Bombyx mori: one gene and its partners. The protein of the gene in region 1 purifies or fractionates together with the protein of each later gene. This does not show direct contact. Links are inferred from orthologs where the notes say so. Each region holds a gene or a part of one and is shown on either strand. Other genes may lie near its edges. The genes, in order: membralin, signal recognition particle receptor beta subunit and ring finger protein 5.

The links.
Region 2: the proteins of membralin (region 1) and signal recognition particle receptor beta subunit purify together in Homo sapiens (affinity purification with mass spectrometry; 3 studies listed by BioGRID and IntAct, counting the BioPlex papers as one, with this or other methods). This does not show direct contact. The link is inferred for Bombyx mori from reciprocal best matches to the Homo sapiens genes TMEM259 and SRPRB.
Region 3: the proteins of membralin (region 1) and ring finger protein 5 purify together in Homo sapiens (affinity purification with mass spectrometry; 3 studies listed by BioGRID and IntAct, counting the BioPlex papers as one, with this or other methods). This does not show direct contact. The link is inferred for Bombyx mori from reciprocal best matches to the Homo sapiens genes TMEM259 and RNF185.

What each region holds. Positions count from the first base shown.
Region 1 is NC_085125.1:6,088,798-6,098,554, forward strand, and holds part of membralin, read right to left. Parts: intron 4,210-9,757; coding exon 4,077-4,209; intron 1-4,076. UniProt on the Homo sapiens protein: May have a role in the ERAD pathway required for clearance of misfolded proteins in the endoplasmic reticulum (ER). Promotes survival of motor neurons, probably by protecting against ER stress.
Region 2 is NC_085114.1:6,490,429-6,500,864, reverse strand, and holds signal recognition particle receptor beta subunit, read right to left. Parts: upstream 4,882-10,436; 5' UTR 4,496-4,881; coding exon 4,393-4,495; intron 3,736-4,392; coding exon 3,569-3,735; intron 2,745-3,568; coding exon 2,605-2,744; intron 2,029-2,604; coding exon 1,897-2,028; intron 1,523-1,896; coding exon 1,312-1,522; coding exon of another isoform or gene 1,300-1,311; 3' UTR 1,298-1,299; coding exon of another isoform or gene 1,228-1,297; 3' UTR 1,226-1,227; coding exon of another isoform or gene 1,225-1,225; 3' UTR 704-1,224; downstream 1-703. UniProt on the Homo sapiens protein: Component of the signal recognition particle (SRP) complex receptor (SR). Ensures, in conjunction with the SRP complex, the correct targeting of the nascent secretory proteins to the endoplasmic reticulum membrane system.
Region 3 is NC_085116.1:17,090,870-17,101,266, reverse strand, and holds ring finger protein 5, read left to right. Parts: upstream 1-3,886; 5' UTR 3,887-3,964; intron 3,965-4,163; 5' UTR 4,164-4,167; coding exon 4,168-4,322; intron 4,323-5,684; coding exon 5,685-5,823; intron 5,824-6,760; coding exon 6,761-6,923; intron 6,924-7,620; coding exon 7,621-7,718; 3' UTR 7,719-8,148; downstream 8,149-10,397. Other genes in the region: protein IWS1 homolog, read right to left, coding at 1,394-1,626, 2,249-2,457. UniProt on the Homo sapiens protein: E3 ubiquitin-protein ligase that regulates selective mitochondrial autophagy by mediating 'Lys-63'-linked polyubiquitination of BNIP1.

The DNA of each region.
Region 1 (9,757 bases):
CGTAGTGGTAGTCGATCGCGAATTGTAAGGTACAGAACTCTTAAATTATAATCAATACCTGAAACCGTTTGTGCGCATAATGGCAGGGCTAATACAATAATACCAACGTATCTATTTGACAATGAATACTCAATAGCAATGGTAGAGTTAACATTGTTATTTGTATTTTGACATTCAACAAGTGTGTCATACTGACATCTAAGTTGAAATAAATGATTTTGAATTTGAATTTGAATTCAATTCATAGAAACGAAACGTAATATTAATTAAATTTATTGAATTGAACTGCTCACCGAAGACAAATGAAATAATAATACATTCAGACTTATGACTAATGCAAAGAGTCCGATACTTTCTTTTGTGTTATTATTACTGTTTACTATGAAGTTTGTTGCTTGTCTGTATAGTCAATAAAAAAAGTCGGATGTCTGCAAAGTCGGTTTACTGACGATAGTTGAACGTGACAACGTCATAAGAAAATACGCCTCAGAACGAGGTAACGCCGCATGAGTCATGTTTTTTCGTGCGTGCAGCCGGCTCCATCGAATTATGAGACGTTGTCACGTCAAAAATCAATATCATTATAAAAGTAACAGTACTATAGAGGAACAAGTTTTTAAGGGAACATACACACATGACATAATATTAACGCGCTATTTCTGCGAGACCCGTAATAAAAGCAACCGATAATATCGCGTCGACGTACTCATAAGAAAACTGACCTCGGCCGAGTGAACAAACCTCTAATCGAAGACGAGGGCGCGCCGGGACCCAGAGCATAAATCAGGCTCCCCTCGCGATGACGCCCGCCGCCGGAGCCTTCAATTTGGCACATCCTTAAAATGACACACGAGACGCGCGCCCCTAACGACACGACCGCGTCAACTCTCGCACGGCTTATAAATAATAAATAAAAATAGGAACCATATCATTATTAATATTAAGTAGCTTTAAATTCGAATTTGAATTCGAAGTCGTCGTGGCCTAAGGGATAAGACGTCCGGTGCATTCGTGTTGAGCGATGCACCGGCGTTCGAATCTCGCAGGCGGGTACCAATTTTTCTAATGAAATACGTACTCAACAAATGTTCACGATTGACTTCCACGGTAAAGGAATAACATCGTGTAATAAAAATGAAACCCGCAAAATTATAATTTGCGTACTTACTGGTGGTAGGACTTCTTGTGAGTCCGCGCGGGTGAGTACCACCACCCTGCCTATTTCTGCCGTGAAGCAGTAATGCGTTTCGGTTTGAAGAGTGGGGCAGCCGTTGTAACTATACTTGAGACCTTAGAACTTATATCTCAAGGTGGGTGGCGCATTTACGTTGTGGCTGTCTATGGGCTCCAGTAACCACTTAACACCAGGTGGGCTGTCAGCTCGTCCACCCATCTAAGCAATAAAAAAAGTAGCTTTAAATTGAATTCCATCGTATCAAAAACGTATCGCTGGCTACAAAATTAATTTTCAATAAGTTCAAAAGTATTCAAGTCACGTAATTACTTTTGTCTACGTATTTATATTTGTGACTCGTCCAAATATATAGTACTAATCCAGCCACCGAAGTTACAATCTGTCGAACAGTGTATACACATGTAGCGGGGTAATAGCAATCAGGGCGGCATCGTAGACAAACTGTCGGGTCGAACCTTAATTGGCGGTCGCCGAGATTTATGCGGGGAGCTCGTCACTACGCCGCGACCGCATCGCCGCCGACCCACCGCATCACTCCGACGGTCAACCCTTACCAAACATCGCCCAAAACTTATTAACACATTAGCGAAGTGTTACGATATAGCTTTCGTGGGTCGATTTTGTGTAAAACCTAATTATTTGCGGTAACATAATTTCGTGATCAACTAAAACGACTTTGGAAATCATGGAATTAGTATTACTAGTGGTCCCCCGGTAGCCGAAATTCGACTATAATTAAGTGAAATTATAAGTTTGTACACAATTATGATTCTATTTTCAAAGACTATTATTATACTTCTTTAATCACCGAATCTGCCAAGACTACACTTTAGACAAATATTAATAAAGACAAACAATATTTAATCTATTCTCAATTTAACCACAGACTATAAGCAATAAGAAAAGTTTGAACATAAACAAATAGTATGCATGCATGTGTGTGTCAAATACACGGTAGTGTGTGTAATTATTTTTTTTATTGATTTAATGCATTTTTTATGTATAATTTTAATAAAAATTAGCAATCTGCACTCCTTCTCTATATTTTCTATAAATGTGGCAAATTTCATACTCCTCCGTCCGTGCTATTTTCGTAAAAAGGGGTACAAAGTATATTATTTGTATGTATGTATCTGTATTTATATTTTAATTTATTGATATCCTACTATTTAATACACAATGCATAGTTGTTTCAAGGCAAACATAAGAAAGCTGGTGACAGTGACACGTTCTGGTACACAACATGTCACCAGCGGTATCAGCTGTTTGAATTTATAAATTAGTTAATTTGTAATGTATGTCATATAGAAGAATTATTTCACAACTAAATACGTAAGTATATTGCTTTTAATGTCCGGCATCCGATAGAATCCGATCGAACCAACAAAAAAATTAACGCATCATAAGATTTATCAGAAGTTGACACAATTATTAATCTCTCGATGATTATCATTCATTAGTATGGCAAATAAACAAGATTTCTTATCAGTCGCTTAGTCGGGAAGCTACGCTTTTAAGCTCGATCACGACCCGTCAAGAATTACTAGTATAAAATTATTACAGTGGCCAGATATTTCTTTTAAAGTTTCCAGCGAGCTCTACTGTTATTAATACATCACAACGTTACGATTTGAACAACATTATGAAATACGTGATCTCCTTTTTGCAGTAAACCAGCGTCTTCAAGTAAGCGGAAAATTGCATATTTTTTTATATTCTTATTACACGATTACTCAAGCGAACGCCGTACAAAGGATCGTAGAGTACGCTAGAGTTATAAAAGATAACGCAGATGAAATTAAATTGACAAAGAAAGCGGCGACGTCGACGTTGGTTCGACATATTATTTTAAAAGAAAATTTAAAATCACGTTTGGTATTCAAAGTATTCAAAGAGAGTTAGTTCAAAGTGTTCGTGGACACAAAAGAGTAGATTCAACTCAAAATTATCTATTCGAAAAATATTCAGTAAACTAACATATTTTATATACTTTGAATTAATTTAAAAATTGAATGCCGGTTTGATTACATATTATCCTTTTTATTCATGCCGTTAAACAAGCGTGTATTTCGCTTTGAAAGACAAAATAGCCGTTATTGTAATGCAATAAGGTCATCGACTTTACGTTTCAAGGTGGGCCGCAGCATTGACAGTTTCATTCTTATGGACACGAACATCAGGTCGTGAACTCGTCTGCTCACCTACGTTATTTAAAATTAATATTATTTATTTACAAGTCATTGGAAAAGTGGTTGTGTAGTTTTCAAAAAAAAATGCTAGAATTTTACACCGGATTTAAATCTAGAATTCGTTCGTATCAAGAGGTATTTCGAGACGTTAGGGGCGTTGTTTTTACAGGACGCCAAGAGGACAGGAGGGGTGGAACTAGCCCTCTCGTTGCGAGGGGGCAGCGGTGCCGTTTTCAATTTGCTTTATTTGCGCTTGTTTTAATAGCGTTCCTCCTTATTGCCCTCGCGGACGACCAGCCAAATTGCTTCGTACTCAGTCGCCTTTTGATTAAGAATGTAACGTGAGATCGGACCACGAGCAAAACTAGTAATGAATTGGTCTTTTCCCAACTCGATAAATATGACGTAAGAAAATTAAAAACATAAACTGTCGTGTAATAAAAATATATTATATGAACGGAATGATAATTATAGTCACTCAATTATGGGACCTCACGCGGGGACCTTGTAGGAGGTTCGACATTCGGCCCGAAAAAAAAAAAGGGTTGAGCCCGTGAGCTCACCTACCTATCCGGGCCTAGCTGGAATAGCACCTTAGGCTACTAGCGAATAGGTAGGAAAAAAATCGAATTTATCAGTTGAATCTTTTGCTATTCGCCTGAGAGACTTGAATGAGACCTTAAATGACTTACCTTAACCAATGCCGTTTCGCTATGGCGGTGTGACAGCAGATCGCGTCGTACTGATCAGCTATCCAAACGATCAAGATGATGTAAAATGCTGTTGTGGTATCGTTGAAAAACTCTGACATTATGGCTTCCATTCCTGTAGAAAGAAAAAAATATATATTCAGTTTGCTTTCTCCAGCTACGATTCCTTCATAAGCGCATAATACTACTACTTATGATCTAAAAATAAATTATTGAAATATTTTCAAATCAGAAGTACTTCTTCGACTATTTTACAAATACGAGGGCTCTTAACGATGTCTGAGCCCGAGATTCATTGAAACGATAGAATTATTATACACTTCCATCTCAAGATGGATACATAATCCGGCTGTATTCTCCGTTTGCAAAAATATCATAAAATAATGCTGCTTTAGTGTTTTGATCGTTCCATTTTTTTTTAATAAAATCTTAAAAAGGTAAAATCAAATCTGCAGATACAAAACATTTTTAGGTGTTAACAATTTTTAGAAACTTGCATTTTAATGGAGTAGATAGGCAGACTAGCTTACGGTCTATATACGGAACTCATGGGAATCGAAAGACGCTTCGCGATGCCCATTTCGCAATAAGAGGTTCAAATCGAAATAATATTAGAAAAACTGCTATCGGACCCTTTTCAAATAGGACGCGTAACGTTTTTGCGACAGAAATGGGTAAGATGCGAGACCACCCCGACTGAGCTTACTGCAAGCTCGCTGCAACATGCACTCATAAAGTCTTTCGAGGCTCAAAAGAGCTTACTGATCGAGTAAACTATTTTGAGCCTTTAGTTACGGTTTAAATACTTGTGCCGGGTAGCCATCATACAATACAAGACAATTAACAGACGCCTGAATCACGCTTACGAAATTTTTCACATAAGCGTGCATATATACAAGTTTCGCAGAACGAGATTCGGACCGTCGGTCTACCCAGCAATATCACCCGCTCGGTGGAAGATTTTCCCTCCGTCGTTATAACCACATACTAATCAAGTACACCGCACAGCACACGCCGCACGGCTAGCCCACGGTCGAGGTTAACACGAAATTCGTTGTCACATTAAGTATCGCGGGTCATATGTGACAGCGACACCAGAGACGAGTCGTCGGGTGTCGAACTAATTAGGTGCCAACAATTACACGTTAACGACCGAAACCTGAGCGCACCCGCCACGAGCTTATTAACCGCACACATGCATCGGTCTCGCAGCACTACGACGAGGCAATTCATTTAAGCAGCTTTATCAGGACCAAGTGTCTTCAACTTGAAAACGTAAGGAGATTGGGAATTTCGTCTCGAGACATTTGAAAGCTCAAGTACGTGCTTGGATGTAGAAATTTCTAAGTTGAGGATTAAATTTCGGGTAATATTGGCAAACATTTCGATATGGTAGACACGAATAATACGAAACAATAGGCCATCAGACGTAGGAATATAACTCAATAGAAGGCGGACAACTGTCCGGCGTCGCGGGCAGGGCGTGCCTTATTTGCATTTTGATGAGGCCCGACACTGATACAATAAACACGTTAGGGGACTATCGGAAGTCCGGCAACCGCCCGCCACTCGACCCGGCAACGTTTAACCGAATCTATTCATAACCGTGTCGCTCAATTAACTCTTGCTCCGAGTTATAACATGGTGACGTCTATACTTCGTCTCGACTTAACGTATAATTGAACTTATAAGACTTCTTTTTTTTATTGCTTAGATGGGTGGACGAACTCACAGCCCACCTGGTGTTAAGTAGTTACTAGAGCATAAACAACTACAACGTAAATGCGGCACCCACCTTGAGATATAAGTTCTAAGGTCTGAGTATAGTTACAACGGCTGCCTCACCCTTCAAACCGAAACGCATTACTGCTTCACGGCAGAAATAGGCAGGGCGGTGGTACCTAACCGTGCGGCCTCACAAGAGGTCCTACCACCAGTAATTACGCAAATTATAATTTTGCGGGTTTCATTTTTATTACACGATGTTATTCCTACACCGTGGAAGTGAATCGTGAACATTTGTTAAGCACGTATGTCATTAGAAAAATTGATACCCGCCTTCAGGACTTGAACACCTTTGCATCGCTAGATACGAATGCATCGGACGTCTTATCTTTTAGGCCACGACGACTTGGAAACGTAAGATTGATATTAATTTTGTGGTACTAATAAAGTTTCATAATCGCTATTAATATCCAATATGCTTATGATTATTAGCAAAAAAAGTCTTAACGAATATTGTTTCAATTTTATTGTGACCTTTTTTTTCGATGATTCTAAATTAATAAGCACTAGGTTTAGGAGCACAGTGGAGTCTTCGCTGGCACTTGCAAAAAGTCACCGGCAGTTACCTATTCAACGGAGCATGCGACGTAATCCCGAGCAAGACGAGTAAACAAATTACCCGGGCCGGGTCGGACCGTGGACGTGACGCCGACGGTCCTCTATTAATTTTAATTCCGGCACTACGCGAAGATCACCGAAGATGGGCGACAGGCACGCGCTGCCTCCATCGGAAACGGAATCAGTGAGAAATTATTGAAACAGTGCAGTATTTACGTACATAAGACGGCATAATGAAATATTGTTTTTGCTCTTCTCACTTATCGTTTGCTGCAGAATTCAATTTATTGTACGGAATAAATGTATATCTTATATATATAAAAATGAATTGCTGTTCGTTAGTTTCGCTAAAACTCGAGAACGGCTGAACCGATTTGGTTAATTTTGGTCTTGAATTACATATTTGTGGAAGTCCAGAGAAGGTTTAAAAGGTAGATAAATATGAAAATGCTTTTTGTTTTCCCTTTGATGTGTCCCCCGTCGGACGGATTCTTTTTGTTTGTTTTAAGTTTATTTTATACAAAAGTTTAGGTCTTTTATTTATCGATTGAGCCACTACGAAGTCTGATGGGTCAGCTAGTTCTACGATAAATATACGGATTAGTTTTTTTCTTTACTTGACAAAACTATTATTACAAAAAGTAGATATAAATTTAACTACATTCACATACATAAAGTAGCGCTCTGTGATAAGTTAGAAAGTGTCAATACCAATTCGCGAACCGGAAATACAAACTACAGGTGATCCGCGGATGTATCAGCAGTGTACAATCAAAAAAAAACTTTCTACGGGAATCAACAAATTATGAATAAATTTTTTTTTAATATTATTCACAATTTAAGTCAATATTCTGCAATATAAATTGTAAAGACGAACGGTTGATATGGAAGTGGTTTCAAAAAGCAATAAAAATTTGTATTATGATTTCGTAATAACATGAGTCGCTTCTCTGTTGTTACAAGCGAATACTAATAAAGTAATTGATGTATCGTAGGTAAATCTTCTTAATCAAAATATGCTAATATTATAGATGCAAAAGTTTGTAGAATGGAAGGATAAATAATTTCGATGGATAAATGTGAATAAATAAAGTAAATGTGGCAAATAATGTTTGTTACTTTTTCACGAAAAACTTGGTAAATAGATTTTAATAATTTAATATTTTATACACATAAAATAAGTTTATTTTAAAGTACGTCCAAGCAATTATAGGTGTGAGTTGTTTCACGAAATTATTAATTTAAGAATTTTGACTGTATTTTTACATACACTAGATTAGACCAATTTAAGCTGGTTAGTTAGAATGAGCGGCAGTGGTTTTAAAGATAATAATTATTTTCGAGATCTCAATATGGCCAAACTAAAAAATACAACAATTACTGCAAGCTTAGTCTGTTTCGAGCTAAACGCTGGTATAATGCTGAGAATACTACTGCCCGTGCTTCAGTCAATCCCTTAGTAGCCACCGGTCACCGTCCTCGTCGAACCCGTCGCTTGCGACGAAGGGCTCGACGAGCGAACTAACCCATAGACACAGCCCACTGAGTTTCTCGCCGGATCTTCTCAGTGGGTCGCGTTTCCGATCCGGTGGTAGATTCTGCGAAGCACTGCTCTTGCTAGGGTCAGTGTTAGCAACTCTCCGGTTGAGCCCCGTGAGCTCACCTACAAACGTTAGGACGAAGCTGAAATAGCCTCTCAAGGCTATCAGCTAAGGTAGGAAGAAAAAAAAAAAAGTAGCCGTTTACGACACCCACAGGTAGAGTCGAGTGATGCTATGAGCGTTCTAGGCCAAAGGACGTTAATAAAAAGGAAAATAATAATTGAAAAATAATGTCTGTCTGCTATCCTTGATGTTACCAACATGATTTTATACAAACAAACATTGATTGTCTACGCACTCTACTAATAACTACTAATACTCTACTAAACTAATAACTTTTTAAAGTTTTTTTTAACCAATGAATGTCAATGAAATCTTTATTATAAACTATTTTTTGCCCGCGACTTCATCCGCGTGGAATAGTTACTTTGGCATAACGCTAAATTTTACCTGCGACTTCATTTACGTAGAAAGAAAAAAAAACCGATTTTGAAACATTCTTTATTGGTGCTCCGTTTGTATTGGTCTTAGCGTGATCTTACACAGCCTTCCTCAGTAAATGGGCTATCTAACACTGAAAGATTTTTTTCAAATCGGACCAGTAGTACCTGAGATCAGCGCGTTCAAACAAACAAACTCTTCAGCTTTATAATATTAGTACAGATACTGTATAAATACTTGGTTACAGATTTTTACTAACAATACGATATAATATGAATATTTATGTGAGTTATGAAACTAGATTTGTCGTTTTTCAAACAGTGACGTTTTAGGCGACATTAAAAGTTTAAGGGCTGCTTTGATTATTTGGATTTATTGTCAAATTATATAATACATATTACATGGTATATATGACAGTAATAAATGCGATTTCTGATGCATCCGTTCCGTGCTAGTCAAACTTGTAATCAGTGGAAGAAATGCACACAAATTGTTAGTTCTTACTTCCTCAGTTTAATCAAGGGGGACACCCGCAGAGCTTGGCGGCGCAACTGTACCCTTCCTACGACTTGGTGCAAATTGAGAATAATGGATCCAGTGCGGCATTTTAGGTTTACTCAAGGTGTTTTTGTAATATTTGTTGAGTTTTTATATTATGATAGCCGTACAAAGGTAAACGTTTCGACTGTCTACATTTACTCTACATTTTGAAGCAAATCAGTTGTGTTAATCTCTGCACATGTACATCAGTCGTGTTCAACAAAGCAGCTCACAACAGCCCTAAGTCCATTCGGCATTCAGCGAGTTACATTTTGCGTAATCCTCGCCTTGCATCGAAGATCCGTCTTTACGATCTCGTTAGTGCCGGTAATCGCCACGTTGCAGGATCCGGATTACGTCTGTGCATTTATTAGTGTTTTTATTGATTCACTCGGGTGCTGTCGTAAAGTGAGATTATTATTCGCGACGTGGCCCGCGCCCCGCACTGCAGCCCCCCGCAACGCCTCCGAGCCAAGTTGTTTTGTTACTTAATCGCGACGATAACAACGTTTAACGACGGCTAGGTGACTGGCGAAATTCCGCTTCGATGTTTAGTGCTCATTCTATTTTCATTAACCATTTACCCACTTAATGATCCAGATCCTAAGGGAGTGATTCAATGACTTGGACCCATAAAATTAAACCTTAGCGTGACCTGTACAGTATAATTAATAGCTGTTACCGGTCGCTCATGTTTCTTCTTAAGCACTCAGTGTTACCGCTCCATTTAATTTCAGT
Region 2 (10,436 bases), on another chromosome or scaffold:
GTTTGCAGTATTCACTCCGTACACGTCATTAAGCCTTTTGTGCGGGATTGTCAAAGCGACGAACTCGTATTCCATAATTACTCAGTTTTTTATCGTATCATTCATTATATTGATGAAAAAGATGTAGTGAAAACAAAACAGTAATCAATAAATAATTACTGAATTTGAAAATGGAACTTAATATGATATCTATACTAATATTATAAAGAGGAAAGATTTGTTTGTTTGTTGGTTTCGAATAGGCTCCGAAACTACTGGACCGATTTGAAAAAATCTTTTTCCATTAGAAGCCGACATTGTCCCTGATGAACATAGGCTACTTTTTTAAATTTTTTTTTAATTTAATTTTTTTGGTTTCATGTGTGTTTTAATGTTTCCGAAGCGAAGCGAGGGCGGGTCGCTAGTTTATAAATAAAAAACTTCATGGAATTTGAAATTTTAGTTTAAAACTACGATGGTGGTTGTCTTGGCAAAGGATTTCATACATAAATTAATTTATGTAAACTTTTTATTACGTATGTTCAAATGTGTATATTACGTTAACATTTTACTTAGTATTACGATTGATCGTATGGGAATGGCGAATTTTGAATTCCAACAGGAATACATAGAAAACTATTGTTTTAGAAAAAAATACATATTTAGCAGAGGATGTAGCAGGGCAGCATGTCCTGAGTTACTTTTAGGTCAATAAACAAACACATTTAAAAAATATAATAGGTAGTTTATTTAATTTGCATATCAAAATACAGTTAAATACAATATTCAATAAGTATCTGCCTATACATACATCATCAGTCTAGCGTTGATACATAATGGTAACGCTCATTTACAATGGAATATTGATGAAGAAAGCATAAAAAAAGCAAAAAAAAAAACAACTTAATTAACATTGCGTCGTTGTCAAACCAAAATCTGCTATGCGCAAATTTTTGTTTGAGATTTTTACTTTTTGACCTTTTCGTATAGTTCACAGCCCTATCTACCGTATAAAAAAAACTGTTATGCGTCTATCTATAGCTTTAATATTTATTTATAGCTTTCATTTGATATAGTGCTTAAAAATACACCTTCATATAAAATTTTATACGAAAATGTTTTTACTCCTTAATCCAAAATAGAGTTTTTGCACATAGCAGATTTTGGTTTGACAGCGACGATATCTCAAATAAACATAAAAAGCAAAATTATTTTCTGAATATGTCTAATTAAACATTTTTAAAATAACAAAACGACACATTAGTGTACCTACTGTGGCTAAAAATGCTGAGTATAGTAGGTAGTGCAAAAAAAATATATGATAATTTCAGTCTACAGCTTCGAGATCCAATCCTGCAGAGGCTTGATGTCAGTCGGATTTTCATCGTCATTCGTGTTGGCCGAGCACTCTGCGAATTCGACTTTATTTCTAATGTGAGAGAATTCGAAATCTTTACCCTCTTTACCTAGGAACGACCCGATGTTGCCTTCAGACGGATCGACGGACTGCAGTTGATTCGATTTGGTCACACGAACTAAATTTCTGCGAATATCGTATCTCAATTAATAACAAATTAAAGGAAAATTAAATTGCCTGCAGAATCGGTTTCTTTAAAGACATGTTAAAGCTCATGAATAACGCCCGTGACTAATGATATCTAGTGTTAATTACATTAGTAAAGGCCAAGGATGACAGAAGAGATACCCACTTTTTTTTTATTGCCCTTGTAAATCTTAAAACTTCGCATTTTTTTGTTAATCTTTTATTGTCCTTATAGGCGGACGAGCACACGGCCCACCTGAAGGTGAGTGGTTACCGTCGCCCATGGACTTCAGCAATGCCAGGGGCAGAGCCAAGCCGCTGCCTACCGCTAATTACTTAATTACTTGTAAAAATAGAAAGCGCGGATAACTTACATTTCTTTTTCGAGTAATCCTTTGATAACTTGGCTTCCTTTTGCTAATGGCTGGTCCTGTTTGTTGCACAATATTAGAAGGGGAGTTGTGTTTCCCTGAATGATCGGATCACACAAGATTGTGTATAGGTATCTGTAAATAATGTGTATATTTTTAGTATTTATATGAGTATCTTTGAATTGGTTGTAAACACATAGACATGATTAATCTCACTCACAGGCAAATTTGGAGCAATGCAGACAATTTAATTTCTGTTGTTGAAATTATTAAATACTGGCCACAAAACTTAATAAATCCTACTAAAAACATTTATTCATTTATTTTTATTAATTGAGATACAATCAAGAAACTGTGGTCACATAAGACCGGTTTCTCAAAACAATACCTTAACTTCTTCAGAGGTAAGAACGAAACTATTAGATGTTGATTTCCAGTAAGTAGTAGTTCAGTGATGATTAATGTTGCTTTATTAATGTGGTTTGGAACAAACAATAAAAAAAATTAGCCCTCTGACATTCACTGCTGTACATAAGCCTCCCCCAAGACGGAGGTGGGGGTGAGGATTATAGTGATAATATGCTGCTATACTCGTGATTAGAATTTAATTCAGAACAAACAACGAATAAAAGTAATTATAAAAAGATGCATTCGCCCAGGCGAATCTCCATATGTAGTGACTTTCATTGAGTGTCTACTGCCTTTACTTACTCTGCTACATCTCTGATTTCTTTCTGTATATTGATAGAATCAATCACAAACACAATTCCCTTAGCACTACTCTTGTGCTGTTCAAAGAATTTATTTCTCAGTCTCTCTTGTCCAGGCAGATCAACTATTTTCAATGTTTTCTGTAATAATAAAAATCCAGTTAGGTAAGTTAATAAAATATTTCTTTTACTCCTTGAAATCATGGACACCAACAATGGGAAACCCATTGCCAATCATAAGACCAGACCACTTTCAATAGGCAACCAAAACAAAACAAACTTAGTTATTATGGATCTTTTTTTTTTTTCCTACCTTAGCTGATAGCCTTAGAGGCTATTTCAGCGTAACCGTGGCTAGTAGGTGAGCTCACGGGGCTCAAACCTGATGACGTTGCTAACACGAACCCTAGCAAGAGCCGTGCTTCGCAGAATCTACCACCGGATCGGAAACACGACCCACTGAGAAGATCCGGCGAGAAACTCAGTGGGCTGTGTCTGAGAGTTAATTTACTCGTCGAGCCCTTCGTCGAGAGCGACGGGTTCGACGAGAACGGTGACCGGTGCTTGAAGTACCTAAAAGCACCATTAGTGGATCGGGAGGATCCGAGATGACGTGTTTTGGGCGACGTCGACTGCTTTCCATTCTGTCCACAGGATCGGGAATGTAGTTACCAGCGGCCACGATGAGAGGGTTCTCGTGTCGTGCCGCTTTATCGAAGTGATGGATCTTCAATAATGAGTCAAAATAATTAATCAATTACTATTTTTGTTAAATTATAATGATTAATATGCTAAATCACTAAATAAAATAATTTCCAATATATATTTCTAACGATTTTCCAATTAAACCACAGTCAAAATTGCAACACATGACATCATGCGTTAGTTTATATATTCATGGTTATCTCGTCGTTCATTTATAGTTTAGTAACCTAAAACTTTAAAATACTTATACAAATACTAACATTAGAAGTTATATACTCTTCAATATTTTCTTTCATAGAAGTAAAAGTCTGTCTGTATTGAGAGTAAGCGAGTCTTACAAACAGCAAAGTCTTGCCAGAGTCTGATAGGCCCATTAACAATACTGAGTTGCGAAGAGTATACCTTCGAGAGAAAATCCACCAAAATACTGAAATAAATTTTTTTATTAAAAATATGATTATTTATAAACTACAGCATTTATATTTAGCCAACAAGTTCTGTTGTAAACATGGTGTTGAACATTTGACCCCAATAGCTTTATGACTGTAAAGCATCATTTTTAAGCTGATTACAACAATTCTACTTTCAAAATTTGTCAAGTGAAAATTCAATATGAAATAAATATTAAGCAAACAAGCCTGTTTTTCTGTTGTTTTCTAAGCAATCGAATAAAAAGTTTTAATAATGCACCCATAAACTACGTAGACAACTTAGTAACCCTACTTATCACTATTATCTGTGAGGTTACTCGAGCCACATATCAGAAAAAATGTGAAGTTAGCATATTGGAAAAATCATCACATCTGTTTACCAGCAAACTAGATTCTAGAGCTGCCCAATGTTGACATTCTGAACTGAGTTAGCCATGCTGCAAATTAACAAGACCTTCCTGTAAAGTCACTAATTACTTGGCAGTGCCTTAGAATGTTTGTAGATAAATAGATTACCCTCCAAAATCACTTTATGGCTTTAAACATTTAACAAACCCCTTAGCACCAAATTACCTATGGCACAATAACTTGAGTTTAAAAATACACAAGCAGAAACGATCTGTGTAGTTAATAAATTCAAAATATCAACTTACTGAGGGTTACTGCTAGAACAATAAGGCTAAGTAAGGTTATGTATCGTGGATCGTTCAGGATCGGTTCTGTATGAATCTTTTCTTTAACCACTTCAGATTCCATTGTAGAGTTCTTTCGCTTCACACTCACTAAGTCACTAAATTAATATGTACTTTAAAAAATTAAACAAAGTGAATGTACTGCTCTAGGGTCTAAAGTTAAGTATAGTCTATGGTCTAGTGTTTCGTGATTTCGTGTATACTACCATAGATTATACACTTAAACTGTATACCATAGATTAGTAGTAGTTTTATTTTCCAATTGGAAAGGCAAAGGTATCATACCATATAGCCTAATCTTTTATATATTTCTTTATATGAAAAATGATTTTATGAAATGAAGTTGATAATATGAAACATGGCATGAAATGAAATGAACTGAAATTAATTAAAATGAAATGAAATCATGTGAAATGAGATGGGATGAAATTATGGAGGGTAGAGGTAAGGAGGCGCCATCTTGTATAGGGGACAAGTTGAAAAAGTGTCGCATCTGTAAACAGCAAATTATAGTTCGAAAATCACCGAATTAGCGCTAGTGTCGCAAGGGGAAATAGTATGAATATAGAAGTTTTAAACTGAGTGTAGTGTGCTGGATTGCAGTGAAGGCTATGTTTCGATTTACACTGCGAGCACTCTTCAGTGCTCTCACTGCTATTCGTTACCTACGTTAAGGACTGACAGTATATAGTCGTAGTAACTTAAGGAATGATTGATGATACATGATGGTGAATGGAACGGAGAAATGATACATGATTTCATAAATCTTCACTTCAGCACTTTTACTGTGCATAACCTCATTTCTATAATACGGTTATTAAGTTATTATAGATGAAATTGCTGGAAAATCAATATTTTCTTTTACTAAAAATATACTTACTTTAAGCGATTAATTAAACTGACAATAACTTGAATATTCTATTTTCAAATATAAATAAATTTAAACAAGATTTTTTTGCTGAAGTGAAAACACCGCTATGACAACGTCGATGACAGTATGCTGTAACTCTTCGATCAACAGTTACTATTGTTGATCGAAGCTGTAACTGTACAGGAACGGCTTGGCTGTATACTAATTTGACGTCACACTTTACAATGCTCGCAGTGCAAATCGGAATAAATATACCAGTCTTTTTTTTTTTTTTTTCACAGGAGAAAATCGCCGGATCCCCACCCGCGTGGCAGGTGGGGTATGTGGGAGTTGAACCTCACTAAAAACTCCTGCCACTCACAACCGGCGCCCTACCTCGGACCGGGCCGGAGCCCAGTCGGGGCTATTGAAACGGCGGGACAGGGTTGACGCAGAGCACATTACATCCATCCCACCGTCCCACGGACGCCGGACCGGCGGCCGCCAGCGACACGACCACCGGTTCCCTCGTTCAGCGGGCCGAGAGCCCGCTTTGATGGCGCCGCGTTACACCTTCCCCCAGAGCGGTCGGGGGATATACCAGAAGTGTAACAGGTTATGGCGCTTAAGTGTAACAGCTAGTGTAACGGCTTATGGACACTTTTTAATATACTGAGATGGTTCTCCTTACGTATAACCTCCAAAGATGAAATATAATCTCAGTAAAATGGTGGTCATTTATGTAGGTACTGAGACTTTTTCAGTGGACTTTTTGGAGGATACCGGAAAGTTACGTCCAGCGGCTTTCATTTTCCCACATTTGTGCACTTTCACAGATATTAAACAGTTAATAAATCACAGTTATTACCCTGTTAGGCTGAACCGCAACCTATTAACTCTAAACATTGACAAAACCAAATTTTTAACATTTGCAAGCAGAAAATCTGTCCAACCCCCGCGTGATTCTATTACTCTCAAGGCCCATGTATGTAATGGACGATATTCCGCATGTAATTGCTCGGAGATTGCTAGGACTGATAATATCAGATACTTGGGGGTGTTGGTGGACAGCTGTTTCAATTGGTATGATCAACTGGAACTTGTGACGACGCGCATTCGAAGCTTAATTTTTATTTTTAAAAAGCTAAGAGGCTCGGCAGATAAGCAAATATTGTTTACCGTATACACTTCCCTTTGAGAGTCGCTTATAACTTATTGCATCCCTATTTGGGGATGTGCCTGCAAGACAAAGTTTATTAATATCGAACGAGCGCAAAGGGCAGTGCTTAAGGTGATGCTTGGGAAGCCTTTTGGGTACTCTACTAGACAACTGTATCGTGACGCAGGAGTGCTGACGGTTAGACAACTGTTTGTCCACAGGTCCGTTCTGCGACAGCACTCCTGCCTCCCATCAATACCTAAAGAAACTTCACTTTCCACGAGACGAAAACCGGCCTTTGACACTATTGCTTGTAGGACGGAATTTGCCAGACGACAGATTTATTCGTCAGGTAGCAGAATTTATAATAAAGTAAATATATCTCAGCAGATAGATGGCTTAAATAGGTATGACGTTAAAAATAATCTGAAGTCTTGGCTCTTAAACTTAGACTATTTTGAAACAGAACAAGTCGTGTTGTAAAAATGTATAATGATGTATATATAGTATGATATACTGTTGATTCATTGTAGCTAATTTTAAATTAATATTTTATATAATAATATATAATATAATATATAATAATATTTTTATACTTTATTGTATGACACACATACACACACAAACACACTAACACACATACACTCACACACACACACACACGTACGTACTATATTCTTACAGATCGTTCTTCCTGGTTAACTTTCTTTACCTGGTGACCTAGCACTGAACCACTGACTTTTGTAACACAGGTTTTCCTAGCATAAAAGTCAGGGAATATTGTTATTGTATACCTCATAAAAAAAGCCATGTATAGTGAGGGGTAGATCTCAGGGGTATTTAAAACTATGGGTTAGTCACCAATATCGAATTTCGAATTTTAATCTTCCTTTATCACAAACAATTTCAATTTTAAACAATAATTACATTTAGACGCGGGCGCACGCTATTCACACTCAAAACGGAAGCGCCCGGAACATAGATTATACACTGTTGAAAAGATTGACATAGATGCTAACTATGTATAGCGAGCGGGCATACGGCCGCGAGAGTGACGTACCGGTCGGTTTGCTACATACTCCCCCTCTAGTCCTGGAGGACGCCCTCGCTCCTGGACTAGCATCTCATTACTACTGGGCTGAGGGACAGGCGCAAGACCAACCATACCACCAGCTGCGGGAGAAAGACGTGGAGCTTCAGCACATGGTTCAGCATGCCGTGTCGTCATATGCCCTGGAACTCGAGAATCTGTTTTAACATTCTTTGGGGGACGACCACGTTTCTTTTTAGGCATCTCCGGCCGCGGAAGAGCATCACTCTGATTCTCACGGTATAGAGTGAGATCGTTCACATGATATTTCCCTAAAACTTCATCAGGTTTGTCAACATGCGCGACGTGGTAAGTAGTAGGGCTGACCTTTTTAACGATGCGATACGGACCATCGCGTTTTGGAACAAACTTAGAAGTAAGGCTCTTAGCGCTCTTACTGAGGACGTGTGATTTGATGAGAACCATGTCACCTTCGTTGAATGTTTCAATGGGCCGTCTCGAACGATCAGCATACCCTTTAGCTTTATCTTGAAGCGTCTCTACACGTTCGCGCACCGCTGAAAAGGAGTTAACAAATTTCCTGAGATAGGGAGTTATTTGGGGAACAAAGTTATCTTTGTCTAGAACAGCACGAAGGTCATGGGTGACTTCTGTGGGGGACCTCATCTCTCTGCCAAATGACAAGTAAGCAGGTGACATACCTGTGGTGCGACATTTAGCGTTATTAAGAGCGAACCGAATCACTGGTAACATGTTTGGCCAGGAAGTGTGGTCATATTCCACGAGTTGTGCTAATAAAGTCTTAAGATCTCTGTTTTTGCGTTCGGCGGGGTTTGCTTCTGGGTGATAGAGAGGGATAAGGTTTTGCTTTATCTCCAGGATGGACATGCATTGACGCATGACTGCCGAAATAAATTGTACGCCATTATCAGAAACTAGTCGGCGTGGAAGACCGAACCTCATAAAATACTCCTCTATGAGGACATGTGCACACGCCTCAGCAGTAGCTTCCTTCAATGGGAAAAGTTCTGTCCACCTCGTAGCAGTATCTTCTATTAGCAAGATCCAACGCTCCCCCTGTTTTCCAGGTGGTAACGGGCCGAAAAGATCAACTGCCAAGACCTCGTTGCGCTGGTTCATCACCGGCGTCTGCAATAGACCTGGAGGCTTGGTATTAGCAGCCTTATAGCGTTGACAATGGATACATGCCTTTACATAGTCGGTTATGATTCTTCTCATTCCTGTGAAGTAGAACAGACGTGAGACTTGTTGGTAAGTCCGGTCAATTCCTGCATGTCCAGCGGTAGGGGCATCGTGAAGCTCTTTGAGAACGTCGGTCACTTGATGGGCAGGAATGACTAATTGTGGGGCCTCGGCATCAGAATCCGGATTAAGTCGATATAAAACACCTTGTTCCATTAGAAATCCTCTTTCTGACCATCTTTTAGCAGCAAGTTCATCCACTCCTTCCAGTTCTGTGACGATCTTCTGTATTTCCGGATCAGTCAACTGGTCTTGACGTAACTGGGTAGGTGACTTGGTGGGCAGGTCGCAAATGACAGAACAGATGCCGCAGTTATTTTGTGTTTCGTTGGAACAGATCGGTCTACTTAACGTGTCAGCGACAACGTTAGCTTTTCCTGGGGTGTACTCGAATCTGATGTCAAATTTTTGGAGTTTAAGCGCCCAACGGACCAACCTACCAGCAGGAGACTTTAAAGAAAGCAACCAACGCAAGGGTTGGTGGTCACTGCCTATAATAATTGGTTGGCCGTCGAGGTATGGCCTGAAACGCTCCACGGCCCAGACTACAGCAAGCGCTTCCCGTTCTGTAGTAGAGTAGTTGCGCTCCGCTGCGGTGAGTAGGCGGCTAGCATACTCGATAGGCCTTTCGTCCTTGCCTTCCCCTTGAGCTAAAACTGCGCCAAGTGCATAGTTGCTCGCGTCAGTACGCAGTACTAAGGGTTGTTTAAAATTCGCTTGAACAAGTACGGGCGCCGTGGTCAGCAGACGCTTCAATTCTTTGAATGCCTGTGTTTGTTCAGGTCCCCAGCTCCATGTGTAATTCTTCTTGGTCAGTCGAGTAAGCGGTTCTGCTATCTTTGAAAAGTTTGGAATAAACTTCCTGAACCAAGAGCATGTTTGGAGAAAAGTTCTTAAATGTTTTAGGTTAGATGGTTCCAGCATATTAAGGACAGCACTGACCTTCTCAGGGTCAGGAGACACACCGTCTGGAGTGATGACGTGGCCCAGATAACGGACCCTTTCTTTGGCAAAAGTGCACTTCTCTCTGTTTACGTGAAGTTTAAATTCAGACAAACGTCCAAAAACAGCTTCCAGATCTTGTAGGTGTTGCTGGAATCCTTCTGAAATAATTAACAAATCGTCTAGATAAGCAAGTACTGTAACATCCTTCAAAGCAGCACAGGAGCGTAGACGATCAATAAGCCTTTGGAAAGTCGCCGGCGCATTCTTCAAGCCGAACGGCATTCTTTTAAAACGGTAAGTGCCTAGGGGGCAGACAAAAGCTGTTTTGTCTCTGTCTGCTTCTCGGACCATAACTTGCCAATATGAAGAACGAAGGTCTATTGTGGTCATGTAACAATTCTTCTTCGTACTCTGGAGAAGATCATCAATGCGTGGGAGTGGGTAAGTATCCGATTTGGTTACTTCATTTAAGCGCCTGTAATCCACGCAGAATCTTACATTACCATTGGACTTCGGTATCATCAATGCAGGAGAGCACCAGGCGGATTCGCACTCTTCAATGATGTCATCTGCCAGCATCTTCTCTATTTCATTCTTCATCGTCTCCTTCTTGGAAGGGTTAAGGCGATAGGGCGGCACAGCTATCGGGGGGTGATCTCCGGTGTCTATGCAATGTTCTATGAATGGTGTCGGACCTCCCCCTGCTGTAAAAATACTTTCATGCCGAATAAGGAACT
Region 3 (10,397 bases), on another chromosome or scaffold:
GATTGTAGAAGTCAAAGTATCTATGCAATTCTGCAGTAAAAGGACACTATTAGTGTCATAGCTATATAAGCTACATGGCATCAAATTATCTAGTCGACAAAATAATACCTTAACCAAGTAGTTTATCTTTTTTTTTTGATTCGAACACGGTTGCATCGCTTGATACGATTTCACCGGGTGTCTAATCCTTTAGGCCACAACAACTTCATTTCTCTTGAGATAATGATTGACACACTCATACATAAAGTTGCAACAAAGTCCTTACTGCTTCTTTGATGCAAATATAACCCTGTTGTCGAAAAAATGCTTACAAGTGAACTTCAAAGTATTGCTACAGCTTTTTCCTGATTCTGACAGATTTACCTTGAGGGTAGAAGTGTTTGTATTTTGATGCTATGCAAAAATTAAGCCATTCTTTGACAGCTGTATATGACCGGATCTGCAGATCACTCTGATTTTATATCATTAAATGAAATAAATAATAATAGTATGGTGCACTATCTGCGGAATACGGGGGGAAGAGTAATATGTCTTATTTGAACATTTCAAGTAGGCTTCAATGGGGTTGGCAACATGAGGCTAAGTGATGGCTTCCAGGAGAATCATTTTACTATAGCTCTGGTGGATTGTTACCATTTTTCATGCAGTGCTCAGTTTAATCACATTAACTTCGATTCTATTCCCCAGTGATGTTTTCATTTGGTTCCAAAAGCTCATAATAAACAATTGTTCCCACCAAATACACAGCGTAGCCTTATTGTGAATATTCGGTAAAGCTAACGATATAGAAACATCAGTAGTTCCCAAGTTTTCTTTAGGTTGCTTCAATTTTTCACATTGAATCCATTTTTCATCATCTTTCACGATACCATGAACAAAATCCTTCTTTTTAAATGTTTGGAGCACATGTTTGTTCACGGACGAAAAAACAACACCCTAGAGTTCTTGTCTTCAACTCAGGAACCAAAGATCAGTGCTTTTGTATCATTCGCAACACGTGCAATTGCTTGGAAACGACTTGGCCTGTTACTCTTAATGCTGAAGTAAGCTGAACTTTGATTGACACAGATCTCCATCAAGCAATTCCTCTAATTCAGAGTCCTTGAAGATTTTTGGCTTTCCCTAATGCAGATGGTCATGAATCGTTACAACTTCACAACACAATTATTTCAGTCAGAGCAATTTTCTTCAAATGAAAAAGGAAAAACAGCACTTCTCACAAATGACGATTAATTGTAACTAAATCAGACATTTTCACACGATTAAACGTATATCATGCAACAAGAAGATCATTATAACGCGGTTTGTGTACCATATGTAAACGTATAAAAATCAACCACCATTTATTGCAACAGTTCATATAAACAAACAACCAAATATTAAAAAGACTTACCACAAAAGAACTTTGGTTCGCAAAAGTCAAATTCATCTAAAGTTGGAGAGTTCTCAATGAAATGTGAAAGTTTCTTGTTGGAATAGTCTACGACAAAAGAATTTACTTCTATGCCGTGATTTATGCCGGAGGTTCCAATTATCAGACCAACCAAGGTGTTCAAGTAACCTGTCCCAGAGCCGACGTTCAGGAAAGTTAAGCCTGTTTTCAGTTCTAGGGCTTCCATTACTTCACTGAAGATATAAAAGATTACTAATTATCACAATACAGAGAGATAGTTCATTTATTGCATTCCAAATTACTTATAATAGTATATGTAATAGTATAATCATAAGCCATTTCTGGCAGATATTTAACAAACATAATGTAATATTATAAATTATTTATACAACAATCCATGTAAGTATGTAGCTCAAATTTGAAAAATAAACGAACATTAAAGCTAATCAAACTAAGAAAAAAAACAAATACAAAATTTGTTTTTTTCTATTCTGGTTATTTGAGTTAAGATATTTCGACAAAGTACTCAAATTATTATATTATCTTTGATCAAGTGTGTCATATTGGTCAAAGTGACGACTTAGTGAAAATTATGTTGAAATATTGTTATAAACATATATAAATAGATACAGGTCAAGCATGATAAACATTCTGATAAGTTTAAGTTACATACAATATGGCTGTTAACAATTTGTATTGTAATGAATTTTTATTTTATTTCGTGTATTTTTTTGTTTTGCTGTATCTTTGTTATTATTACTAGACTTGCATCAGCACTTAATAATCCAAAGTAATTATTAATTTCTGATTACAAAGGAAAATAAATACAATGTTTTTCCACCACCTTCAACATACCTGTAAATACACGGTGCTGACATATGCAGAGATCCATTCCTCCAGGCAAGGTCCTTATACGCCTGATCCCGTACTTCTGAAGACATGTAATCGGCACGATCGAGTGCCCGGAATACGTTCTCCACTTCCGCGGAACGGATGTATTTGCCTCTCATCAGGTTGTCAATCAACTCATTATTATCACGCCCTGAACTCACTGCACCTCCCATTTTTAATGATTCTTTTCTACCACCACCTTTAAGAAGAACTTCCCTCGCACCTCAGCTGATTCTTGACGTGACGTCACTTGTTTTTCAACATATTTTGCACTTCATTTCAAAAAAACTTACTTTTAGAGTCAAAACTATCTATTAGACGTTTTAAATAAAGAATTACGATATTGTTTTAAAACTGGATTTCTCTCTATCGGCGAATGGGTGCTAAGAGTAGCGATCGTTCAACCATTTTCCTTTTGGTTCTCGTTGATTTCATTGATTAATAGCAAAGAGTAAAGATTAATGGTTGTTTACGGTATGTAGTGATTATTATTGTCTTTGGTTGGTACCAGGATTGGAATAATACAAGACTTGGCTGCGGCCTTATTAAAAAATTTATTTCAGGAAGAAATTTTAAAGGACTTGGCTTCGGCCGTAATGATTTTTTTATTTCAGGACATAATATAAATCATATAAGGGCTCGGCTTTTTTTAAAAATGACAAGGTTGTATAGGCCTAAGGAAAAATTGTACCAAAAAAAAATGTCTTTGGTTGGTCAAAATTAATTCTTGAGTAGTTTTTGACGGGAGCGCGAATAGAATTGTGTTTGTGTTAACGTTTCTTCATGTTTAAATGTATAATAAAGAAGATTTATTAACTGTTTATCCTCTGTTAACGTGCACAAATGTAGGAAAATGAAACAAAGTTGCTGGACGTAGCTTCTTGGGTTCTTTTAAAAAGTAGACTGAAAAAGTTTCCGTAAATAACCACCATTCTATTGAGATTTCATCCCTTCTCAACCCGTTTCATTTAATTTCATTTCGTAGATATGAATAACAATTTATGCATAGGTGTTTTGAAATATTTTATGATATACTTAAATGAAACTAATTTTCATGAAAACATAATTTTTTCAGTAATTTTATATTTGATTAAACTAATATACCTAATAAGTGGTTTTTTATCTTGTTTTCAAAATGTACTCGTACTGTTTTAGTAATTATGACAACATAAATAAAAAGTGCGTGTAAACACCAGCGTGTGGCCTACCCTAGATAATTAGATAACTCTATTATACAACCAACTCATCTGATCTTAAGGGTTAATTTAGTATTACCTAGTGTTAGAAATATACTTCTATTTTTAAAGAGGCATAATTTTAATAATTTTCCATTCATTGGTAAAGGTACGAAATAAATAATTACAAATCTTTCCTTATTTAAAAAATAATTGAAATAAAATAAATCCTAATCGCTTTTTTGTAATTACTTCCCATATCAGATATCGTATACTGTAGAAAAGATAAAGATATGTACTGCGAGTTCCAATATTTTCCATAAACATCGACTGTCATGGGACCCTTGTCCTTACAGCTGACAATTGACAATCAAGATTTTTTGACGCTGAATGACATCTACTGACAGATCAGCAATCAGCATACCACGGGATTGGAAATGTGATTTATTTATTTATTAACAAGTTTCTATATGAAATAATAAACTCAAACATCAAATTTAAAGTGGCAAGTGTTGTATTGTTATTGACCTTTCTCTGCAAACAATAACTTGTTATAAATTTATAATTTGAATATATTTTGTCGTGTCACAATAACATCCAAGCGAACGTCACTACACCAGTATCGTGATAACGCTTCATAAATTGAAAATTTCAGTTCCAAAAAAGAATGTCAAGTTGTGATTATTAAATATTTCGTAATGTAGGGAAATGGCGGAGACTAGTCAAGCGCGAGCGAGCCCCTCGGCGCCTGGGGGCGACGCTGGTGGCGAAGAAGACAAACATGACGAAAGAATGCTAGAATGCAACATCTGTCTGGACACAGCCCGTGATGCAGTCGTCAGTATGTGCGGCCACCTCTTCTGGTGAGCTCATTGTCGTAATTAATACAGTAAATAATTAGATTTAAATCTAATGGCTGAAAGATTTTTTATGAATATTCACAACTATTGAAAAGGTAAAATATCATTTGAATAATTTGCATTAAACTATGCTCATTATTATTCATTCTCATTACTTACCATTGACCTTGTAATGCAGTAAAATCAATACACTGAATGGAATGAACTATGAATGGGAACAGCTGTGCTTTGTGCTACAACATAATTGTATCTATCTATTTATTGATTTATTAAAAATGTTAAAAGACAATTTATTTTAATCAAAATTAATTCTATATTAAAACAGATCTTTAAAATCAGGATTTACATTAAATAGATTAGTAGAGCCATGGTCTCTCAAGAAGGTGGTGGCATACAATATGTACATTTGAAAATTGAATGCTTTTTCTCTTTAGCATCAGCCCTCTGATGTTTTCTCAGATTTGATTGATTTGATAGTCAGGGTCTCTCAAGACTATAGTTTTGTTTTGTCAAGGAGAGCCAAAGAAGGCTATAAAATAAATTTTCCTATATTGTAAAAAGTAAATACAGCTTTTTATCTACTGGTAAAGCGTCCTCAAGCTGGTAGGGCCAATTATTGGACCATAGTGATGCACACTCTTTAGACAGGGGCTCAGATCAGTTTAGCTGGCTTAGTTTACCTACTATAACAGAAAAGTTACTGAATTTCTAGATAAGAACTTGTTCAACATAAACTGTTATATTACTGTTAATCAGTACATAAAAAAAAATTTATGCTTATGAAAATACTGTATTGTAAAATAAATTTCATATACACTATCATATAAAAGTTTAAAATAATATTATATATTTGGAGCTACTTAAAAACACAACACTGTTTAGAAACAAACATAGTTAAGTCTAATAAAAAATAGTAAAATTAAAAACTAAACCAAATAAGAATTTAACATACAATATCAATATTTACCTATTTAAACTTTAGCCTCATTGAAATGTCCCTCGTGTTTTTTTAATTATCTTCACACATATCTCTAGGCAAAATAAATTTCCTGAAATATTCTTTATTCAGCTTTTTCCACTTACTTTCCAATAATTTCAAAACATTGAGTTTGTTGGTGAACAATTTTTTACCCTCCCAGTCGTTCATGCCAAATGAATTCAATGGGAGAAATGAAGTCAGCTGATTGGCAACAGAGAAAACTTGAACTTGTTAAATTGTTAGAGAACCTTTGCATATTTTATGAGATTATATAATATGATTTATAATGCAAGGTCTGAGTTTAACCATATCTTGTGTTCACTTGCTACTCATTGCGCACTAGTGTTTTTCAAAGAGACTATGATGGTATATTGTTTACAATGCAGCTGGCCATGTTTACATCAATGGTTGGAAACCAGACCCAGTCGGCAAGTCTGTCCTGTTTGCAAGGCTGCCATCAGCAGAGAGAAAGTGATCCCGCTCTATGGAAGAGGAAACACAAAGCAGGAAGACCCAAGAAACAAGGTAAGTAATACAAAAAAAATAATGTAAAATTATAGAAACCACTTTTGTTGTTTCTATACTTCTGAAGCATAATATTGTCAACAACAACACAGTTGAAACTTTTTTAACTTCAGATGAAACTTTTTTAAACTTCAGATGTATGTATGTTAGTGAGTAACGGAATCTCTGAACATGATTTTGACCTTAAAAACGTCGGCTTAACGACTAGTTCAAGTAGTTATAAATATTTTATGAACAGATATGAGTAGAAGGGTTATTTTGATAATATCCTGAAAAGCACCCCATGCTTTTTTACAATAAAATCATTTTTTCTTACACTATTTTTAATTCAAATTTATTAAAATTTATTTTCTATTTTTAGTTGGATTTTCTATAAAAGCGTATTTTGTTAGCTTTTGAAACTAGTGAAGAAATACTTTTTTTTTGTAAATTAACTTAAAGCTTATCACTCCTATTTTATTTGAATCAATTATGCCAATGTTCTAATCAACCCGATAAAAAAATCCTAGCATTAATTATTTATATATTGAAGACTATACTTAACATTGTATGATAAAAATGAAATCCGCACATTTTTATGATTTGCATCATTACTGGTGGTTGGGCGTAATAAGAGCCCACACAAGTTGGTATTACCGTCGTATCCCTTATGCTACAAAGCAGTGTTGCAGGGCGATTAAAATGCTGGAAGCAATATAATTGAGACCTTAACTTCATGCCCAGATATGTGACTATTGAGTATAGTATTGATACATTCACCTCACTTTAGTGTGGTCCGTGGCACTTACTTGGTGATATAGACTGACAGGCATCTAAAACCAAGTGGACCCTGTGGTCCACTGATCAGTGATTGCTGCTCATATAAAGTTTGGTTTTGCCCAACTCAGAGGTATTGTTATCAGAGCAGGAATAAAGCCTGGACGTGTATTGTGCGCAGGTGCCCCCCCGGCCGGCAGGACAGCGCACGGAGCCGGAGAGTACGAGCGGCTTCCCAGGTTTCGGCTTCGGCGAGGGATTCCACATGTCGTTCGGGATAGGAGCCTTCCCGTTTGGAATTTTCACCTCGACATTTAATTTTGGTGATCCAAGGCCTAGCGCCGGTTTGTATATTTGTTATAAGTATTTCCCTACCTTTAAATATGAGCTCTTTTGATCTGCCCTGAGAACACACGAAGTTCATTGAAATTTTACATCAACATTTGACAATGGAAGGTGTAGTTGGGGGTCCAAGAGAGTCGACTCCATATATATTGGTTCTCTTAGGTACATCCAACACTAATGACGCATTATTGGGTTTTTAATAGATTCTATATTATTTTTTAGTTTTATGATAGACTAGCGACCCGCTCTCGCTTCGTTTCGAAAATATTAAATTTTATTATTGATATATGGTTATTGTCGTACCGCGAGTGACGCCACGGGACGAAGCTAGTCTAAACAAGGAGCCTAAATTACTCCTTATATCATCAGCTACCTATCAGTCAAAATCGGTCCAGCCGTTTTTGACGGACAGATTAGCCGGAACGGACAATAATTGTAAAAAATGTTATTTTGGTGTATGTACCCGTATGTATTCATATGTATGTAGTAGAAAGTGGTTATTTCAATATTACAATCACACACACTCCAATTTTATTTATATGTATAGATTAATTTATGCCAGACCCGTCCGCCTCTGGCTGTGCAGTTAGAGTCGGTAGGGGTGAGTACCGAGTGTTGAGGTGGGGTGGGGGGGAAGGATGGCCCGGCGGGTCCTCCACCCCTAGGCCGGATGTAGAGTGTCAGTTTGGTCCGCAGCGCCGCGCGGTACGGCCCAGTTCGAAGAAGAGCAGTTCCTATCGAAGATATTCCTGTGGGTCGCTATCCTGTTCGTGCTGTGGCTGGTGTTCGCCTGACCGCCCACAAGTACTGCCACCAGGTTACAATACTAATTAACTCTGTAAACATTTATTTAATAGAAGGATACTTGAAAAGTTCTTTTCAAAATTGATTCTTGTGACTACGGTAGTGTTTTGTTGACAGTGACAGATCAAGTCGTGGTTATTTAATTAAAGACACCGAACCTTTTATCTGTATATTTATGTGATGAGAACGATATCTGGGAATTTGTTACATTTTTTTTTTGTCAAATTAAAAAAGAGCAATAGCGTGTCACCATCAGCAACCGCCAATTTGAATGTGGCTATCAACAGTAAACTTTTTTATTTTTTGCCATTACACTAAAGGCAGCGGCTTGGTTCTGCCCCTGGCATTGCTGAAGTCCATGGGCGACGGTAACCACTCACCATCAGGTGGGCCGTATGCTCGTCTGCCTACAAGGGCAATAAAAAAAAAAAAAAAAAAAAAACCAAATGAAGGGAAAAAGATCAAAAACCCTTGATGTGGTACATACCTACACATTTTAGTTCGAAATATTTTTTATGCGATGATATTTCTGTGCGAGTATTAAATGCGGCGCGGATCTGGACTAGAACTGAAAAGCGAAAACATTTATGTAAATATTCCGTATGTTCTTGGATATTCGCGAGCCGTGCGAAATGAAAACATTTACAATTTACCTACGGTTTAGTCTCACGTATCTCATCATTTGATTTCATTAATTGCGCCGTTTTGAATACAGAATATTTCCCACAGTTTTTAACATTGCGTTAAATAAAAATACGTAGAACAAAAATTATTACGAGTATTATAAACGTCAGAAATAACAAAACATAATGTTAACACTAAAGCTAGTCACTGTAGCAACCAAACGAATAAATGAAGTTTTAAATATTTAAATAACACAATCAACTGATTATTGAGAAAAAAATCAAATATATTTCGGTGTTTTTAGTTAGATAACAACCGCTACGTAAAAACTCTGACTGGCTTAAAGAAATCATTTAATTTCTGAGGTTTGACGAGTGAACGAAAATATTTACGGCTCAATATCGCGTTCAGTTCAAACACGAAACAATTCGAGAGCTCGACCTCACGCCTCGAGCAGCAATCGAGTGGCGTCCGTGAGCGCCGATGAGCACTAAACGCCGAGTGGCTTGTGAGGTGGACGCATAGAAATGAAATAAGAAAAAACACCACCAGAACGCCTGTTAGAATGACATCACAAATGTTGTAATGTCGATAAATATCCACTAACCAGGACTATGACATACCGTAAAGCTCACCTGTGCTCAATATGAGTATTGTTTTGGAAACGTGCAGGTTCACGGCACAGTGCTCTCAACTCCGTACACATTTTTCAAACACAAATTTAAAAAATAAAACATCATTGGACTGTCGCCATTCTGTATGCTTAGTGCGAGTTTTTTAACGTTCTCGATGCGTAAAAGTTAACTCAAATTTGTATGAAGTTGAAAAAGTCCCTTCGTTTCCCGCTCGGGGAAAAAAACTCGCAATAAGTATGTACACTGTTCTAATCTAATATTATTCCTGGTATTTTTTCCTATTGAACCAACATTCCTTTTTTTATGATAACCTTTAAAAGTTCATAATAATAAAATACATATTATGTAATTTATTTTAATGTTAAAATTAACGTGCATTGATGTTTGTATCAGAAGGTAATTTTCTAAAATTGTTGGAAATTGTTAAATTGACGCATTCGAAGGAAAGTTTTGGGCACCACAACTTCATGGTGAGTTCAATGAGGTCGGCTTGGCATCCGTGGGGATGTTGCCTTCGTGGTGTGGTGGGCTGATGGCTGCTCATCACAAATTGGCGCGGGGGTGGTACCAAAGATGGTGGTAGATCGTAAAAAAGTATTTTGGTGGAAACGCTGAAAATTACCTCCTGAAAAACAGTAGTATGTAGTAAGTTTAGGAAACAGTAAAAAGGTCTAACGGTTTCAAAAATGAATTTAATCACGCCAGTAATTTAATTAACTACATTTGCGCTATATTTTGAAGTATTGCGTGTTCAATCTGTGGTTATTATAATATTTTCGTGTATATAACGTGTATATATTATTATTGTGTTATTGTATTTGCTGTAAGTACATAAATTTTAATGGGAAGGTTCATTTTATTGTAATAAATAAAATAAAATAATTTATTAAGGACGTTTTTCTTAAAATTTTACAGTATGTACATAAGCATTATAAAAATGAAGTCTAAAGGTTTGATTTCGACTTTTATTGATTTCTGAATCCCAAGTCGAATATTTTAGTATTCCAGACTACGGATGACGTAATTTAAAAAAAATTATAATATATTAAAAGAATAATAACGACCTCAGTACAACTTGCATCTGCCATCTTTTTACTGGTGGTAGGATCTCTTGTGAGTCCTAGGTACCACCACCCTGTTTATTTCTGGTGTGAAGCAGTCATGCGTTTCGGTTCGAAGGGTAGGGCAGCAGTTGTACTTTAAAAATTGAGACATTAGAACTCTTAACTCAAGGTGGGTGGCGGCATTTACTTTGTAGTTGACTATGGGCTGCGGTTACCACTTGACAGCAGGCGGGCCGTGAGCTCGTCCACCTACCTATACAATAAAAAAATAAAAAATTTTGAAGATATATAAGATAGCAGATAGCTAACTTGGTACTGAGGCAGAAAGTTTATGTTAAATGTCAAC